3 linked regions of the Danio rerio genome follow. The protein of the gene in region 3 purifies or fractionates together with the protein of the main gene of each other region. This does not show direct contact. Links are inferred from orthologs where the notes say so. Each region holds a gene or a part of one and is shown on either strand. Other genes may lie near its edges.

Evidence for each region. Proteins that work in one complex are often made in the same cells at the same time.
Region 1: the proteins of top2a (region 3) and ssrp1b fractionate together in Homo sapiens (co-fractionation; 3 studies listed by BioGRID and IntAct, with this or other methods). This does not show direct contact. The link is inferred for Danio rerio from reciprocal best matches to the Homo sapiens genes TOP2A and SSRP1.
Region 2: the proteins of top2a (region 3) and top1a purify together in Homo sapiens (co-immunoprecipitation; 4 studies listed by BioGRID and IntAct, with this or other methods). This does not show direct contact. The link is inferred for Danio rerio from reciprocal best matches to the Homo sapiens genes TOP2A and TOP1.

The regions. Positions count from the first base shown.
Region 1 is NC_133176.1:47,971,931-47,978,340, reverse strand, and holds part of ssrp1b (FACT complex subunit SSRP1), read right to left. Parts: intron 3,803-6,410; coding exon 3,609-3,802; intron 598-3,608; coding exon 497-597; intron 378-496; coding exon 248-377; intron 1-247. UniProt on the Homo sapiens protein: Component of the FACT complex, a general chromatin factor that acts to reorganize nucleosomes. The FACT complex is involved in multiple processes that require DNA as a template such as mRNA elongation, DNA replication and DNA repair.
Region 2 is NC_133186.1:27,373,310-27,379,719, reverse strand, and holds part of top1a (DNA topoisomerase I, like), read right to left. Parts: coding exon 6,335-6,410; intron 6,175-6,334; coding exon 6,128-6,174; intron 5,310-6,127; coding exon 5,220-5,309; intron 5,011-5,219; coding exon 4,929-5,010; intron 4,845-4,928; coding exon 4,747-4,844; intron 4,554-4,746; coding exon 4,438-4,553; intron 4,154-4,437; coding exon 4,032-4,153; intron 3,930-4,031; coding exon 3,807-3,929; intron 3,728-3,806; coding exon 3,540-3,727; intron 3,460-3,539; coding exon 3,315-3,459; intron 2,872-3,314; coding exon 2,728-2,871; intron 2,511-2,727; coding exon 2,325-2,510; intron 1,086-2,324; coding exon 1,017-1,085; intron 924-1,016; coding exon 809-923; intron 735-808; coding exon 607-734; intron 483-606; coding exon 388-482; intron 271-387; coding exon 121-270; intron 1-120. UniProt on the Homo sapiens protein: Releases the supercoiling and torsional tension of DNA introduced during the DNA replication and transcription by transiently cleaving and rejoining one strand of the DNA duplex.
Region 3 is NC_133187.1:11,261,579-11,267,988, reverse strand, and holds part of top2a (DNA topoisomerase 2-alpha), read right to left. Parts: intron 5,638-6,410; coding exon 5,491-5,637; intron 5,351-5,490; coding exon 5,260-5,350; intron 4,576-5,259; coding exon 4,512-4,575; intron 4,434-4,511; coding exon 4,288-4,433; intron 4,201-4,287; coding exon 4,103-4,200; intron 2,257-4,102; coding exon 2,044-2,256; intron 1,482-2,043; coding exon 1,308-1,481; intron 1-1,307. UniProt on the Homo sapiens protein: Key decatenating enzyme that alters DNA topology by binding to two double-stranded DNA molecules, generating a double-stranded break in one of the strands, passing the intact strand through the broken strand, and religating the broken strand.

The DNA.
Region 1 (6,410 bases), on a different chromosome or scaffold from region 3:
ACAGTGAGCATAAAAAATACATGTAATAGCCATAATGCAGGGAGTTGTGCAATAATAATCACAACCGCAATAATAAAAAGGGCTATCTTTGAAAGAATGAAAGAAATATAAATTATGAAAGAAATATAATAAAAAATAATATAAATTAAGAAGATTTTTTTAATGTATCAAAGGTTAAGTAAAGGTAATATTAATGGTTCCAGATCCAAATAAAAGATTGCTTTATAGACCATGATCCTCCACTCACCACGAAGAACATTTGCCGCTGGTCTTTATGAGGCAACAGGAAGAGGCGGAGCACTGTGGTGTACGGGATCTTGTAGTCAAATGTCTTACCGTGTAGATGAAGGAATGTTGGATAAATACGGATATCGTACCTAAAGAGAGAGCAAGAAAAATCAAATCACACAATGCCAGTTCACACCTTTGACATTTTTATGTTAAATAAACAACCAAAAAGTATGATGAGAGTATCCAGATGTGTGTATGTATGTACCTGCCCCTAGGCGTGAGGCACTGCAGCTCTCTGAAGATACAAACAGCATCTCCTGTGGCCTGGATGACATCTGCCTTCGACAGCACATTCTGAGCAAATGCCTGAAACATAACGGTTTTCATTACTTCTCAGATTAAGCGGGATTTACAGATATAAATATTGTACAGTAGGACTACAAGAAGAGGGACAGAGGTTTTACGCAAATGTTTAGACGTGTCCCATTGCTTGAAGTCTTTTCTCTTATAACAGGCATCACCAAACTTGTTCCTGAAGGGCCGGTGTCCTACAGATTTTAGCTCCGACCCTAATCAAACACACCTGAACAAGCTAATCAAGGTCTTATTAGGTATACTTGAAACACCTAGGCAGGTGTGTAGAGGCAAGTTGGAGCTAAACCCTGCAGGGCACCGGACCTCCAGGAACGAGATTGGTGACCCCTGCCTTATAACATTTCGTCACCTTGGAATTGTAAGATTCTATCTGCGTTCTAATGATTTTGAGATATTGAGCTTCGAAGTTTTCGCATTTCATATAGGAAACAATATGCATGTAACAGTTCTCTTTCTTACATTAACATGACAGAGAGCCTAAATGTACTCTAAATGTAAAATATCAAAATTGTCTTAAAAAAAAAACTGGGTGAATGCAGATGCAGAACCTTGTAATTCTAAAAAGTCTTATTCTGCTTAGAATTATAAGGTTCTATCTAGCAGATCAATAATTGAAGCATTGCTTTTCAAAAATACGATCAGTCTGCTTATTAATTTAAAAAATAAAAACTGGTATGTTTTATTAAGTTGTTGTTATATTTTTGCTTTCTATGACTTTATTTAATGTTTTAGGATGAAACTTGTTTCTTGTTCAAATGAACCATACAAGGCTGTGCTAAATATTTTGTCCAGTGCAGCTGTTAATTGTACACTAAGAATTGCTAGGTTATTTACACCCAAACTGGGTAAAATATGGACTAACTCAAGCATTGGGTTTAATTTAGTCTTTATTTATTTAATTAAAAAATTAACTCTGCAGTTGGTTTAGTCCATATTACACCCAGCATAAGGCTGAAATACCCCTAGCATTTTTAAGAGTAAATGTAATTAATATGGTAATATTTATTGAATATATGCTTTATAAAAATAATTGAATTATATTTATTGAATTATATGCCGCATTAATTAAATTATCTAATATTTGCCCTTCGAGGTTTAAGATTAAATTTAAAGACTCTAAAAAAACGCAGACAATGAGTGAATGAGTTTTAATAAACACTGAAAAATGTTTCACTGACAATATATACACAAATAAAAATATTTCACATTTAATATATTACATTTTTTAAATAACTGTTTCTTTTTCAACAATGTAAAATTGAACCTGCTTCTAAATCATCACATTTACACACATCTTTTCAGTTTCAGGTTTCTTTTTAATTTTGTGAGGTGCGGCATAATTTAGTCGACTTGTATTGTGTTTCCTTCTGGTCTTTCCAGCTGTCGACAGAGCAATCTGGCGAAATGACAAAGAAAGCTGTTCCTGATTAGTCCTCGTGGGTGCATAAGAATGGCTCACAGAAAAAAACTTATAAAGCCAAGACAGAGTTCGACTTTGTAGTTTTGTAAATAAAACCTCTTCAAATGTAAGCAACTAAAAAAACATTCCATAATGTAAATAAGTTGTCATTTAATAAGAATATGTGAATAACTCAATTTTGACAAAAATGTCAGATAGAATCTTATAACTCTAAAGTGACAATATTTTAATGATCATTCAAAAGCTTTAAAAATAAATATCCTTTATGAAATCATTACTTTTGTATATGCCACATTTAAAGCTTTTAGATTGTCCCAACCAACCCCCCAGTAGGTGTCAATCTTCATATTACAAAATGCACTAGACTATTTTATAATCTTAAAATTTATTTAATCTTGAAAAAGGACATAAACATGCATTTGACAATCAGGACTCCATATTTAGTGTCTGTTTTGTAATAGACGTACTAAATGCTTTGACAGAAACTGATTGATTTGTGACACAGAAATGAATTTCAGTATCACCTGCTGTGTACTTTTATGTAACTGCAACTTTATTTTTAACTACAAGTTTTAGAACATACCTTAATTAGACATGGCCATTTAAGTTGGGATAGAGCCAATAAATGAATAAACAAAATAAAAAAAAAAGATATAATGAACTAATTAAAATAAATAAATACAACTCAGTTGATATGTATTGTATTACAGTTGAAGTCAGAATTTTTTGCCCCCCTGAATTATTAGACAGCTTGTTTTTTCCCCCCCCAACTTCTGTTTAACGGAGAGAAGATTTTTTTTCAACACATTTCTAGTCATAATAGTTTTAATAACTCATTTCTAATAACTGATTTATTTTATCTTTGCCATGATGACAGTAAATAATATTTTACTAGATATTTTTCAAGACACTTCTATTCAGCTTAAAGTGACATTTAAACGCTCGACTAGGTTAATTAGGTTAACTAGACAGGTTAGGGTAATTAGGCAAGTTATTGTATAACGATGGTTTGTTCTGTTGACTATTGGGAAAAAAATTGCTTAAAGGAGCTAATAATTTTGTCCCTGAAATGGTCTTTAAAAAATTAAAAACTGCTTTTATTGTAGGCAAAATAATACTAATAAGACTTTATCCAGAATAAATAATATTATCAGACATACTGTGAAAATTTCTTTGCTCTGTTAAACATCATTTAGGAAATATGTAAAAAAGAAGAAAAACTAATTCAAAGGGGGGCTAATCTGACTTCAACTTTAATTCTTAGTTATAATTAAAAATGTAGTATTTATTTATTTTTCATGTTTTTATTTTGTCATTTTATATATTGTTTAATTTTTTATCCGTCTAACGGTATATTGAGTAAAAATTATATTTTCCAAATAATATTTCACTAAATGTACGCAAATATTACTTGCATCTTTATAAATGAAATCTTCATACAAGGACCCAATGGTGATGGTTATATTTGGGCATCTCTAATTTTAAGACTAAAAAAGGCTCCTGCTTTAGGGGAATTGATCTCTTGGTAACCTGCGCCATCTGCTGGTCAGTGTTAGACTGGGATGAACATGCACACTCTTACCTCTACCGGGTCTGAACCCTCGTCCCCTGTGGTGGGTGGGACGTAGAAGCGCACCTCCATGAGAGACACCTCTGTGTCATCATTCTGATGAAACTCCACTGTCACCTCATTCTTACCCGTCGTACACTGGGATACACTGGAGAGAGGAATCTCAAATGTAGGGCTGTCATTCACGTCAAAGGAAAGCAACGGCCCTGAAAATACACAGGAGAGCAGTTTAACACATAGATGAGGCCGATTTTTTAAGCTGAGTTTAATAAAATACAAAGCTTGAACATGGTTAGTTATTAACAGTGTTTCATTGTTCGGCCCTGGGGTAACGTTCAGTGCTTGGCTGTATCAGAAGGAAGTAGACCTGTGCCAAATGACGACAGTATATAAATTTTTCTGCTTTAGCAACCCTGACAGAGTTACAGAGGGACAGAGAGCAGCCTTTACTGTTTCTATATAAAGTATTTCATTATATATTGTGGTCAACAGGTCAACAACTTAAAAATGTACCAAACTATGCTTTAAAAATGTATCATTACTATTATAATTGACACACACACACACACACATACATACATATAAATATATATATAGAAATATAGAAATAAATTTTTACTTGCATAGAGCTTGATACTGTAAGCCTCTTTTACTATTTGTTGCATTATAATGAATAAATAAATAATGAATAAATAGGTGGCGCAGTGGGTAGTGCTGTCGCCTCACAGCAAGAAAATCACTGGTTCGACAAACGACTGGGTCAGTTGGAATTTCTGTGTGGAGTTTGCATGTTCACATGGGTTTCTTCCGGGGTACTCTGGTTTCCCCCACAGTCCAGACTCCAAAGACATGCGGTACAGGTGAAATGAATAAGCTAAATTGGCCATAGTGTATGGGTGTGAATAAGAGTGTATGGGTGTTTCCCAATGTTGGGTTGCAGGTGGAAGGGCATCCACCGCATAAAACATATGCTGGATAAGTTGGTGGTTCATTCCACTGTGGCGACCCCAGATTAATAAAAGGACCAAGTCAAAAAAGAAAATGAATAAATGAGCCGATATATCCACTGTCCCATTAAGCAGGGTCTAAAATGAAAACATTTTTGAAAGCAAGGAAAAAACAACAACTATAAATCTAAGCTTTGTAATGGCACTGTTGTTATTAATAATGTAATTACGTTTATTTACACAATGTATATTTATTAAAATTATATTAATTGTATTATTATAAAAATAATATTACTGTTATATACTGTGCAATAGTATCACAATAATATATATTTTATGGACTTATTACATTTTTATAATTAATTGAAAAAAATCTAAAGCAAATTGTAATTACAATTGAAAGTAAAATGCTACACAGAATGCATTGCTTATTTTGTCTTACAATAAAGTCAGCTGGCGAAAAGGCGAGGCGAGAACATCTTGTAAGACATCTTGTATGTCCTGCTCTTAGTGCTCCAACAGCCTGAGTATTTACAACATTTACACTACAACATTATGTATTTACCTTGAATTAGCTACATCATGTTTAATAATATGTATTTTTGTATTTATTACATTTTTATAATTAGTTAAAAAAATCAAACATTTTAATTACAATTACCGATTCACATCACCATACATAACATACAAGAAACCTATTTTTATAGTGTTATTTTGCTTTTGATTATTAAAAAGCTTTAAAGATATGTTCATCGAAAGGTTCTTTGATATGGAGCGAATAATATGCCAAAACAATCTGAATTTTCTTCACTGTTGATGACCCCTGACCTACTTTTTGCTAAATCTGAATTTCACAATCTGATTTTCTGGTTTTAAAATTTAAAATATTGAATTCGATGCTCTGAATTTCTTCATCTTGAAAACTCAAAACTGTATTTTCACAAGCTCAATATCTGCAATCTATAAATTTAGAACGAAAAAATCTGAAGTTTGAAAATACGTCAATAGAAATCTGAAAAAATTCAGTTGTCTTAAATTTCAGATGTTCAATATTCAAGTTAAGAAATTCAAATTCAAACAGTTTAATAGCATTTAATATTAAATTTTATTAAATTACAATTGCTATTGTGATTCAAATTTGCACAATTTAAATTCAGATTGTTTTTCCATATTATTTGCTCCATACTTTTGGAAGACAAACATACTAAAAAACAGTGTTTAAGGTCACTACTGTCACAATCACCAGCGATCTAGACCAACGAATCCTGTCATGCACCTCACACACACCTGTTCCAGTTCTCTGTTGATTACACACACACACACACACACACACACACACTTTTTTGAGTCTTGTTTATCTGTGAGCATTACGACGTGTTTTCTCCCTGTTTAGCCTAGCTGTGTTTTAACCCTTTGTCTCTTTGTTTTGATTCTTTGCTGCTTGTTCCGACCATTCGCCTGTTCTATGACCACGACTCTGGATTCTCTGTATGTATCTGTTTTACCCTGTTGACTGTTGCCTGCCTGACCATTCTAGTAACAAACCTGTTTGTTAAAACAGAGCAATGAAATTTTCACAGTATGTCTGATAATGTTTTCTTCTGGAGAAAATCTTATTTGTTGTATTTTGGCTAGAAGAAAAGCAGTTTTACATTTTTTAAAAACACTTCAAAGACAAAGTTATTAGCCCCTTTAAGCTATTTGTGTCCGATGGTCTACAGAACAAACCATCACTATACAATAACTTGCCTAATTACCCTAACCTGCCTAGTTAACCTAATTGACCTAGTTAAGCCTTTAAATGTCACTTTAAGCTGTATAGAAGTGTCTTACAAATATCTAGTTAAATATTATTTACTGGCATCAT
Region 2 (6,410 bases), on a different chromosome or scaffold from region 3:
ACCTGAATTCTTACTAGAGCTACTCAAGCCATCTGCTGAAACTGTTTTCACGTCACAACATGTAAATCAGATTTTTTTTTTTTTAACAAATGGATGTGTACGGTACGGTGGTAATCTCACCAGGCTACAGAGATGCGTGGATCCAGGTAGTTGAGTTTGGAGGTCCCCAGAGCGATCTGTTTGTTCTCCTCGCGGTCGGTGGCCTGAACCTCCAGCTTCATCAGCTGCTCCTCCACCCTCTGAAGCGCTTTCTTCTTGGCCTCCACAGCTCTGCGTTGCCAAAAGAATCAACATTAAAGCAGAATACAATCACATACGAATGCACAATGAGCGACAAAGAGGCCAAATTCAGTTGGGCGCCCTTCAAGCAAATATTTTGACACTCACTTCTTGAATTTCTCATCTTTGCGTACTTTGGCGTCAGCCTTGGCACCTTTCAGCTCTCTTTTAGCTTCAACAAGCTGCTCCTTCTTTGCGTCAATCTGGTTTTAATGAACAAGTGAATGCGGGAAAGGCAAACATTTAGATGGTCCAACAGACCCTGCGCTAACAAAGAAATACCAGCATGAAGACAACAATAAGGACAAGTTCGCCAACGTCTCATACCTTGGTCTGAAGATTCTGCATGGACTTTTCAAAGGTCTTTGGTGGTGCCCTCTGGTGGTTACACAGGATGGCTACCGCTCGGTTGGCCCGATTGTAGGAGAGGATCTTCGCAGGAACATTATCTTCAGCTAAACAAACACACAAGCGTCACATATGATGCGTTTCCAGCAGCTCTGCTCAATCTGGTGCGTGCAGGACTTACAGTTAGTGAGTTCGTTCAGCTGCTGCTGTAGTGTGATGGAGGCGTTGTAAGTACGGAACACTTTAGCCGTAAGGCCGTCCATCAACTCCTGAAGATGCTTGTTTAAAATGGAGGTCTGCAAGATGGTTTACAATTAATGAGATGCATTCAGAATTGAGATTCTCCTCTGCATGCCATAAATAACAGACTGGTGAAAGTGACTGCTTACATTGAGACGGTCAAAGAGGTCATCCTCTGGCTCCTTATCCTCCATGAAAAGCTGGAGATTTTTGAAAACCTGTAACATTTAAAAGGGATTTTACACAAAAGGCAGAAGCAGAACACACGACCATGCTAATCAATAGCCCTCAGATGAGAAGATTTCAATTTGTACTAGGGCACAGTAAACTGGTGAACATTTGATTCGCGCAGAGCCTTTCACAAACTCAAGGACAGTTGAAGAGCACAAAAGACCACAACCCCAAACACACACAAAAATTGATTGCAAACAGCAAAACCTGGCATAAATTGATGACTGACAAACAAGACGCAATGAACATGGAGATGCAAGTAAACGTGTTGTGCAATCAGAGACAGAACATCACGCAGACCTGAGGGAGATCACAACATCTTGGTACACCTAGAAGCATTTACAGCCCGTGTAGGACAATCAAAACTTACTAAAAAGCTAATATCTGGGTGACGAAGGTCTTAAGTGTGTGCGCAACAGCATAACAATGGATCAATTCAGCGGAGTATCGTGGTGCTAGACCGTGACAAGCTTTAAAAACTGTAATTAGGACTTTATTGCATGCGATTAGTAACCTGTGAAGTTGCTGGCGAATGGACTTTTTGGTTTAGGGACACGGGCGGCAGAGTTTGGGATATATTAGCTCTGTTCCAAAACCTAATGAGATGCCTCAGGCAGCATCTTAACTGAAAAGGAACCTCGTAAGTGACTGATTTGGAACGCTCTACATCAGCAATCTGCGCACCACACAAGAGCACAGCGGACCTCTGGGTAATCTTTTCAATATTGAATCAAGCGTTTATAATTCAACATTTACTCTGCCTCATACACCATCTCAGATAGACTGAACTTTTTTGCAATTCTTAAAAATAATTGTAAAATAGAGGTTTACGTTACTAATCAGCTTAAAATTGAATCAATTGAATGTTTAATCATTTCAAAACAAATAAAGATGATTTTACATTTTAAATGCATAAGAAAATAAGAAAAAACAGCTTAACATAATTTTATTAAATAATACTGGTTTAATTCATTAAATGCACTATAATTCAGTGTAAATTTTTAAGTACTGGCATCAAATATATGAACCAATGTTTGTATGAAAAAAATCACTGTTGTAGATTAATTTGGCACAAGGTTTTATTTTTGATCCACAGCCTTAAATTAAACAAACCTCCTTCACATGTGTATTTTTTTATACCCTACAATATTTCCCCTGTAGGCAACTCGCTAGATATTGAAACAGAGCAAATGTAATACAAGAATAAGATAAAATCAAATACTTACCCTCTTCTCTACAGGGACCTTGTTGTAGTATCTAATGGAGTCTTTACCAAGAAAGTCAAACTCCACCACAAACTCCTGGCCGTCCATCTCTGGATGCAGAGTGAGATGCTCCACTCGAAGTGAGCAGCAGCCCACTGTGTCAGCAGTCTCTCCTTCCTCCTTTTCATTACCTGCTCTCAAAGCCAGCTACACCAGAGAAATACAGAGATTCATAACACTGTTCTGCTTTTCAGCTTCTGCTTTAGCTCAAAAATTTCACAGCAAACGTACACCCATTGAAATGTTAGTAACTGAACCAAACGCTTTAAGTGCTTTTAAAGAGGAATTCTGAATTAACCTATTCATCACATGCTTTCAGGGTCATGAGCCTGACATGAAGGATATTACATTGAGGCATGCAAACCTTGTCAATGAAGTAAAGAGCAACAGCACGCTGTCTGATCTTCATTTCTTTTGATTTCCAGTCATCGCGGTACTGCGAACGGATCCGATCCACACATTTCTTTAACCGACGGGCTGTTTCATATTTCTGCCAATCCTTCTCTCCCTGTAAGAAAACAATGAGGTTTGCACTGATATTAAAGGTCTAGCCAACACTGATCATTTTCTCATTAAGGCATTAAGAAGAATAAATGAAGATTTAATTTATGAATCCAAAAAAATATATATCTACACCTAGCAAAGACTAATTTATTGACAAACACATGCATTTCAAATAATTGCTGAAATAATGGTTTCCACAAACATGCAGCAAAACATTGAAAACCAATTCAGAAAATTAAGATTTTCTCTAAAATCTTATTCAAAACTATAAGGTATATAACTAGACAATATCAGATTTTCCAAAGTAAATTAATAGATAGAAACAGATGAGGATTTCTGAAACAGCATAAAAAAAATTATTATGCTACATTAAATAATCTTAACATGAGAAAAATCATTGGTTTAAATCAGTACACAACTAACTGTATTGGGATAGTGCTAGTTCACCTTGATCCTCGAACTGGGGTTCAGCATGATGTATTTGATGGAGCCTTGGATGTTTTCGGTCCAGGACACCAGCCATGTCACCTTGTTGTCATGACGTACCTCCTTCCACTTTGTCCCGGGAGGCGGTGTAGGATGTTTTGAGTCCCTAAAAGACAAAAAAAAAACTGATAAGAATTTTTTTTTCCACCAAGGGGGTGGTTTTGGGCTCTAATGAATGCTGCTTACTTGCTGCAGTTAATGATAATGTCTTCGGGTCGGATACGACGCTTCAGCATGCCCATTTTAGGATGGTCACCTCTTCCACGGAACAAGCCTGGAGGCTCAATTCGAAAGTTGGCAATGCGCTCTTTGTGATTGTCCATAATACAGAAGCCATACTCCTGCAGAATGCGTTCGTTCTCTTCTTTGATTTTCTGATCAAGAAAAAAAAACATTTGTGGTTTAAATATTATACCAGCAGAATGATTTCTTAATTTAGATCTCCAATCTCACCAGTTTTTCTTCTTTAGTCATTGCCTTCCTGGCTTCAGATTGAGCTTTGAAATATTCACTCATATTAGAGAAGTCACACTTATTTAGATCAGTGATTTTGGATTTCTCTTCAGACGTCATTTCCTAAAATGAGAAAACCATGCAGGATTAATCTAATAAAAAAATAAATAAATAAATAAAAAAGTGCCTTTGTAATAGCAAGAAACACTTTCCAAACAACGTTACCTTCCTCCAATCTTTAAAGAAGTTTTTACGAAAGATGTCTTTAGTGGTGTACTCGTGGTCCAACATTTTTGAGAAGAAGGTGGCCACCTCCTCTGCATTTGGGCTGAGTTTCATATGCTTCCCTGGTGACAGAACATAAAACCCATAAAAACCAGATTAAAAACAACAGCAATAGAGCAGAATCTATCTTAACAAAAGTTACTAAATCCACAATATCTAAATACTCCTCATGCAATGCCAATTAAAAAAGATGGACAATATAAAATTTTAGTTTGTTCATTTAAAGAGAAAAAAGGAGTGGTTTCAAACATTTGAAGATCTCACAGTCCGACTCCCGCTTCTTTAACAGTTTTGACAGATGGCAAACCCCCTTCTTGCACTTCAAGAGAACTATTGAAGGACATACCGTCATAATAAAACTTGACATTGCTGGGCAAAGGCTCATATGGTGGTGCAAAGACAGGTCCTTTGTGCTCCAGAAACTTCCATTTCACTCCATCTGTGTACCTTTCTTCCTCCCACCTAAATGGTATAAAAAAGCACAAAGAGGAAAGGAGGTAAACCAACATCCCAATGCAGGCAACCAAAATGGATCTGCAAAGTGCCGGAAAAAGGACATTTGTGATCAGCACCATATCCCCGAATAAAATCAAAACAGACTCAAGACAAGGAGTCAGCCTACAATTACTTGACCATCAGAGGATGTGAGACTAACCATTTCCACTTCTCTTCTGGCTCCTTTTTTGCCTTTTTCTTGCCATCTGTGGCAACTTCTCCTTTCTTGTCTTTTGTTTTCTTTTTGGGCTTTATGTCCTATGGCAAATCAAAAGATTCAAAATTACTGACACCTTGGAAAGTGTAATCTAAAGAGATAAGCCAGTAACTTCATTAGTTTACCTCTTCCTCCTGTTTCCGTTTCTTTGCTTTCTTTTCACTTCTGTCATCCTCAGTTTTAATTTTCTTGGGCTTGTAATCACCACTGAATGAAACAAAACAAAATGTCAAAATGCCTTGCAACCACACACACACCGTTCAAATACCAGACAATCACTGTCTCATTCACTCTAATGGTTACCATTTTAAACAAAGATTAGAGGAACAGGGAGCTTTCGTGACTACAGAGGATTGCAAGTTTGTTTTAATGTCACAAGTGAGTTCAAGATGTCCTGCAAACACAATGTCACTTACTCGTCATCATCCCGCTCTCTCTTCAGAGACTTCTCTAGTTTAGGAGAGTGATAGAAGTCATCGCTGTCAGGTTCAGATTTAATGTGAGGGCTGTGTGAAGGATGAAAACCATTATTCATTTTCTCACTCACATGACCAAATAAGAGAAGCCTTTTAAATTGGCTCAAGATAAATTCATGTTTCTATTTATGCGATTACATCCATTCTGTGGATCCTAAAAGGGATCTTATCATAAAGAAACACTTTGATTTCTCTTAAGAATGAAAACATACAGTAATTCTCCAAACCCTTCAGCATAAGGGTGATTTCCGCAACATTTAAAGATTTTTTTGTTGTAACACTGTTGCTCTTTTACATGACTTCAAGATTTTGGGTGGTGTTAAACCACAAGCATTTAGAAAAGTATACAAAAAGACATGCTCATTATGTGAATCATAACAACAGTAGCAGAATATTTGTTCTACAACATGTTAAACTACTGGCCAAACATAAATACACTGGGATTTTCATATTTTGTGAGGATGTGTTATGAACCTGACAATTTCAACAAATTGCTAAAGGACCACAATGTACCGAAAATGAAATGGTTATGTTAACATACATCCATCAACTGAAATAGCTTCATCATGGCTGACATCGGAACACAAAGCAAAACAATACGTTTTTAAAATCATCCATTTTTCCCTGCTATAAATGTCAATTAAAAAAAAAATCAAAGACATGGAAGCACTTGAAGAGGAGTCATTCTCACTGTTAGGACAACCATTGCTTTTGACATTTGAGTGGCTTGTGTTTTGGGTCGACTGTTTACCTAACTTAAGTTATGACCCATTTAAGGGGTCTCTTATTATAGTGAAACTCAACTTACAGTTGCATCATTTTCAGTCACATTAAGGGCTCACGCTCACCTTGCGAATCCATTCTGTTTCTCTTTTTTAGGCCTGTCATCAGAAGACTTGAGGAAGGAAATGGAGAACAAAAAAAACAGAAAAAGGTCAATAACAGCACTCAATATTGTGTGAATCACAAAAGACTATTTACAACTCCTCCAGAGCCAGAGGATTGAGCTCAGATAAAACCGCTGCAATGTGAAAGTAACCGAGGATTCTGCCCACCCTTTCCTCCTTTCTCTTCTCTTTGTGTTTGTCCTTCTGCTTGTCTGAAGATCCATCTTTGAGCTTCTGCCTCTCT
Region 3 (6,410 bases):
ATGAAGCTGAAAAACGATTTGTGTAGGGCTGCTTTAAAACTGAACTGAAAGAAACTTGGCTTTTGACTTTTTAAAATGAAAATTGACTTGGTTTGTCACAACGAAACTTTACTGTATGCATGTACCTTATTAAATATTTATGTTAATTCATTTATTCATTTTTTTTTCAGCTTGTCCCTTTAATAATCTGGAGTCGCCACAGCGGAATGAACCACTAACTTATCCAGCATGTTTTTACGCAGTGAATGCCCTTCCAGCTGCAACCCATCGTTGGGAAACACTCATACCCTCATTCACACATATACACTACAGACACTTTTAGCTTACCCAATTATTATTTATGTTAATACATTTTTAAATTAAAGTCACCAAATCTACAAAAAAAAGCTAACTTTATACAACTTACATTATCTTATACATATTCTACACATTTGCTTTCACTTTATAATGGCATTTCTTGTCAGATGATTGACAGCTTAGGCAAGATACGCTAAAATCCCTCCCTTCCAACCACTGCTAGCAAATAAAAGAATTCAAAAAAACTTTACACACTACATTATATTTTGTAGACATTAAATAATCAATAGATCTGGTTTAGAATATGTGACGCATCTGTTTGATTGAAGATTTATTAAAAAAACATTTTTGAACAGTTTTGAAAAGGCTGTTTATTCATCTGAATACATTACCAGGGTATATGCAGCAATCCTTAAGTTAATTTTAATACCTTTTTAAGACTTTTTAAAGACCTTCTTAGAATATATTAAGACTTCATTGCCACTAAGTCCTAATCCATATTAAACTTTGACCTTAATAAACAGATATTAATAAACAGTTGTAGTTCAATAAATCAATGAAGCACAACCGTGTAACAAAACTCAGAGAAGCCTGGAAGAAACAAACGTGATTGTTTTGTTGGCGACAGGCTTCAGCCACTGTTTAAACCCATCTTTCTCAAATCAGAAGTACTCAAACTTACATTTTCCCATTTTGCTATCTGTTCCACTCTATGGGTTCGCTATATGTGGAAAGTGTCACGTCACCTTTCCATGTTTGCCGCAAATTACATGACGTCACCCGAATGGAGGAGCTTGGCTAAACGTGCCTTGGCTCAAACCAATTGCAAGGATCAAGGAAAATGAATACATTTATGCTTTTTTGGAGTTAAACACTTTAGACAACGCTTGAACAAAATTTAAGACCTCATTAAAACCTGATTAAGACTTTAACACCTTTTAAAAGCCTTAATTTTCTCATTATTGATCAACTTTTAATACTTTTTAAGACCCCACAGACACTATGATTACCTTAGTTGTGGCGATGCTGTTAACAAAGCTGACTTGCTGGAACCCTTTTTCACTAAGGGTAAGACACACTTCCCAGCGCTCATTCACCATCTCGTGAACTACTGTCAGGGGAGAACCAGTTTCATCCACCTTATCCTTCACATACAAGTCCACATAGGTGCGGAAATTATTAATCTGAAAGACAAAAAGAATTTAAACATAAATTTAAAATGTAATGTATTTATTTACAGCCATGTCAGCAATCAAAGCCATTTTCATGGCAAGATTATTTCAATAATAAATATACAAATAAAAACAACAAACAAATAAGTACATAACCCAAATAAGATTTTTAGTGTTAATTCATCATAAGAATTCAAAAATTTTCCTGGTGTCACTTTGTTAAAAATGTCCTTGAGAGAGATCATTTCATAAAAATAGTCTTCTGGAGTCATTAAAAGCAGGACAGTGCAGTAAAATGTATCTTACAGCACGGGGAGTTGTGCAGTACAACATTGAGTGGGGTCTTCATCTTTAAGCAAAAAGATTTAATCTGGTGTCCAACAACATCGGGTAAAAATCACTTGATCAAATCTAGACTTTAAAATTCAGTTTGAGATTTCAGGTTGGATATTCCTACAATTTATTATTTTCCAATGCATCCCATTTCTCTTGCAACTTATTAAAAAATAAAATAAAAATATACAAAAATACAATGAACATGGGTTTAAGGGTAAATGCAATAAATATAACTTACTGGCAGCCTCTTTCCATTAAGTAAGACACGGACACCTTTAGTGGATCCAGCAATGTCATATGCTCGTCGAGTCAGTAGCGCAACAGTGTCCTTATCTAAAGCTTGCATCTTGAACTTGGCCAGGTCTGGCTGGAATGTGATGCAGGTGTAGTCGTCACCGTCGAAGGGTTTAATCTTAGATTCACCTGCTCGTCCCATGTTGTCAAACCATGTCTACGGAGAAGAGATTAAAACATTCTGGTAAATGACCGCCACTAGCAAAATCACATCTGACTGTCATACAACTTAAGTATCACAATCACTGATCACTACATAAATGGATTTGTCACTGAATTGTAAACTGTCCAAACAGAATGAAGCTACACAAAGTGTTTGAGGGGGCCATAATGCCATTAAAAATGAGCAAAAATGTATCAGAAGAAAAGTCTGCAATGATTCATTGATCGAAAGTAAATCATTGCAACTTGTGAATTCTAACACAGACTTTGAACAAACACAAAAAAATGATCTCAGATGTGTGTATGCGTTACAAACTTGGTCCGACTTGCATTTTATGCAGCATTGTTTTTATCAAGCAGTAAAGAATATGGAATTTATTTACAATGAGATGGTTGTGCCAAATTAACAAAATTGTGCCAAGAATTCTGCAGGAAATTAAGCATGCCACCAACAACATTGACTGTGTTTACATGGACATCAATTTAGATTTAATTAAGACAATACTAATATTAAGACGTTAACATGAGTTGCTTTTTGAATGTTGCTTTCATGATCCCGTTTTACATGTTATAACGCATAATTTGATTAATGTCATTGCGTCACCACACTATCCAAATTTCCTCCAGAGTTACAGGTAATTTTGGGTGTTTCATTTTTAATTTGTCGACTAACTGCAGTTTAGCACTTTTACTTTTACTTTGGAACATCTCATGCATCCCCTGTGATAAACAAGATATTGAATGCAGCTATAAACTGCTGGAAAAGTGTTGTTTTAATGAAAGTTCATACCGCATGCTAAATGGAAGAAAAAAGAAAAAAAAACAACGAATTTCACAATGCAGGTGTCTGTGGTCTTTACTGACTCGGTAGGTGCAAAGAAGACAAACAGCAATGTGTGTATGTGGACTATCCTGTCGCAAAATGCAGCAAAAAGTCCTACATGGCAATAGTTTAAGGTGTTTACATGTCTGTACTGCACTTCAATAATGCAAAAAACATCGGCATACTGCACATGTCTCAATCCGGTTTCTCTTTATTTCGATAATGACCTCAATCGGATTAATCAAAAATCATGGTACATGATTACTCATTGTAGACTCTTAATCAGAGTAATGTCTTAATCACATTAAAATCTAATTATTGGTGTCCATGTAAACGTACTCACTGATGCTTGGAAATAAAGTTTAATTAATTAATTTGCAGCATTATTTCTCTACATGACATGTGGGTAAATTGCTTGGCCCAAATCGGCGCTTAACTGTGGTAGACTTTTAATTGCCCTGACAAAATTTGATCTGCCCCAACAGAATAATAATAAAATAGCTTATTTCCTAGCCACAAGTAATTAGCTAATTAACTGTATTGGTTAAAGCAAACTATTAATACTAGGGCTGAAACTTATTTTTTTTTTTCAATTTAATCAATTTAAAAAATAATCAATTAAATTTGTAGTAATCAATGCTTCGTTAAAAAAAAAAACGAAAAAGAAAACTAACGCATCACTTACTGCCTGTACAACATTTATTTGATTTGCCTAGATTTATTTTAGGCAATATGCAGCTTGTTTTTATTTTATCCTGTAGTTATATTGTTAACGTAACTTCTGGTGAAAACTTCCATTGTTTAAATTCAGAATATAGTGAAATAGCTGCAAATTGAGGTGAATGCAGTAAAGTTTGAGTGTATCTGCGATTGGCATTTATGCAATTTTTACTGCTGTTGCATTTCAGTGACAATAACTTGAAAGAAAATAGAAAGTTTATCCTAATACTCTATGGGTTATAGTGGTAGATTAATTGATAGCTGCTGCCCTAATTAAAACACAGTATCCAACACTCACCTGTTTGAAACAGCGTTTTGACTCTCTGCAAGCAGTCTCCACAGTAAACTTTAGGCTGAAGATGTTACACAGCTTTGCACCATATCCATTTCGCCCACCTGATGACAACACACAATTACAAATCAACTTCAAGTCACACCACATAAGTGCTGTCAGGAATCCATTAACTTTGAGCACAATCTTACCTGTGACCTTCTTCTCATCATCATCATAGTTACTGGAGGTCAGGAGTTGGCCAAAGATCAAAGCAGGAACATACACTTTTTCCACCTTGTGTTCAACCACAGGAATACCCTTCCCATTGTTCCACACACTGATTGTGTTATTCTCTCTGCGGACACACAAATGAGCACCACTTACGCATTCTCAACCTACACCACTGACCAGTGAGAGAATGAGCAGTACTTACGGGTCAATGTTGACCTTGATGCAGTTCATAGTCTTGTCCCTTTGTTTGTTATCAGCAGCATTCACTATGAACAGGACAACAGATGTTACATTTAAGCAGCAATGTGTCATGCTTCAACTTTTACCATATTTAATGTGCTTATTTAATGTGTTGGATATGTAAATGAAAGCTAATAACCTAAATTATATCCGCTTGTTATATAAACTGATTTGCCAGACTTGAATTAAACCACTTGCACATTCATAATAATGATTAATAATCATATTTTACAACACATTATGTAGAATTGTAAATAAAGGGATACAAATCTGTCAGGTTTATGTAAGAATATATTCAAGTTTAGAAGACAAATGATTTTAGTTTAGAACAACAAAAGGATACCCATCTTCAAGAAAACAATGGCACAAGCAATACAGATATAAAAAACGCATTCAACAAATGCTGTCATTGCTAAACCTTGCACGCAATGTTTTGCGCGCATTTTGTTTTAAGAATACATTCATAAAAAAAAGAAACAAATAACTTTGAATTTACACAAAGCTTTTACAAAAAAGTGTTCCCTTGTTAAATGAAGGTACATCTTTTCAAACACTACACCTGCCAAAAACAATCTAAGCCAGATTTCCCAACAAGTTAAGTGAACGATGTGATAACCAGAATAGTTAACTATTGGTTTTAATAATGGCTAGACTAATCCATTTTAAAAAAAGGTTAGCATCAGCTTGCTTGACATTCATCATAAACTCACCCAGAATCTCATCAAAAATCTTGTAGAGTCCTGGCACAAATGTGATGTCTCTGCAATTCATCCCTGTATCCTCATCAAACACCCACATTTGCTAAAAAATAAAAAGTCAAGTCATTAAAGAGAAGTTGTTTCTATTAGAAAAATAATTCAAAACTTAATTCTAGGACTATATTATGTTATATTAAAGATCTGGCAATAACCCAATCATTATGAAGTGTGGCTCTTCCATACCTGAGTCACAGGTTCCACTGAGCCTATGTAGGTGTCAGGTCGAAGCAGGATATGCTCCAGCTGGGTCTTCTTCTGATAGATCCGTTCCACAGACAGACGCTTCTCATCTTTCTTGGGCTTACTGAGAGCCTTATTCTCAAATAAACTCTATAAGAATTAACAACAACTTTACACCAATTTTACACAGGGCATGATCAATAAAATATTAAATAATCATATGACAATCCAAACAATTCCATAATAAAAATTAATAATAATTATACATATACAGAATATATATGTATACATATACAGAATATATACATATATATATATACATATATATATACATATATATATATATATATATATATATATATATACATATATACATATATATATATATATATATATATATATATATATATATATACATATATATATATATATATATATACACACATATATATATATATATATAAAAGATTACATGAGATTCCAATGGGCAATAATAATGAAAAATATATATATGATGTACACTTTTAATGCCTGAAAATACATTGGTCTTTAAAAATAAAATCTTTATTTTTAGATATTGTCAACTCAAATCCCTCTTTTTCTTACTGGAACAATCTTTTTGACGATATTAAATGGTTGTATGGTCAGTCCCCCAGAATTCTTTCAATTTAATTTATTAACAAATAAAATTAAAGAATTTTTTTAAATGATTCACAGATTTTAACCAGTTAAACAATTTCTACAGAAAACTGACCTTGATGTCTTTTGTTCTTTCTATGAGACTTCTGTTCTTTACTTATTTTGGGATTGTCCCTTTGTTAAAACTTTCTGGTCTGATGTGATGAATGAATTTTTCAATTTTAACCAAAATATTTGCAGTGATTTTTTCTTTAAGCTTTAGACACGTTGTTTTGAGGTTTTAC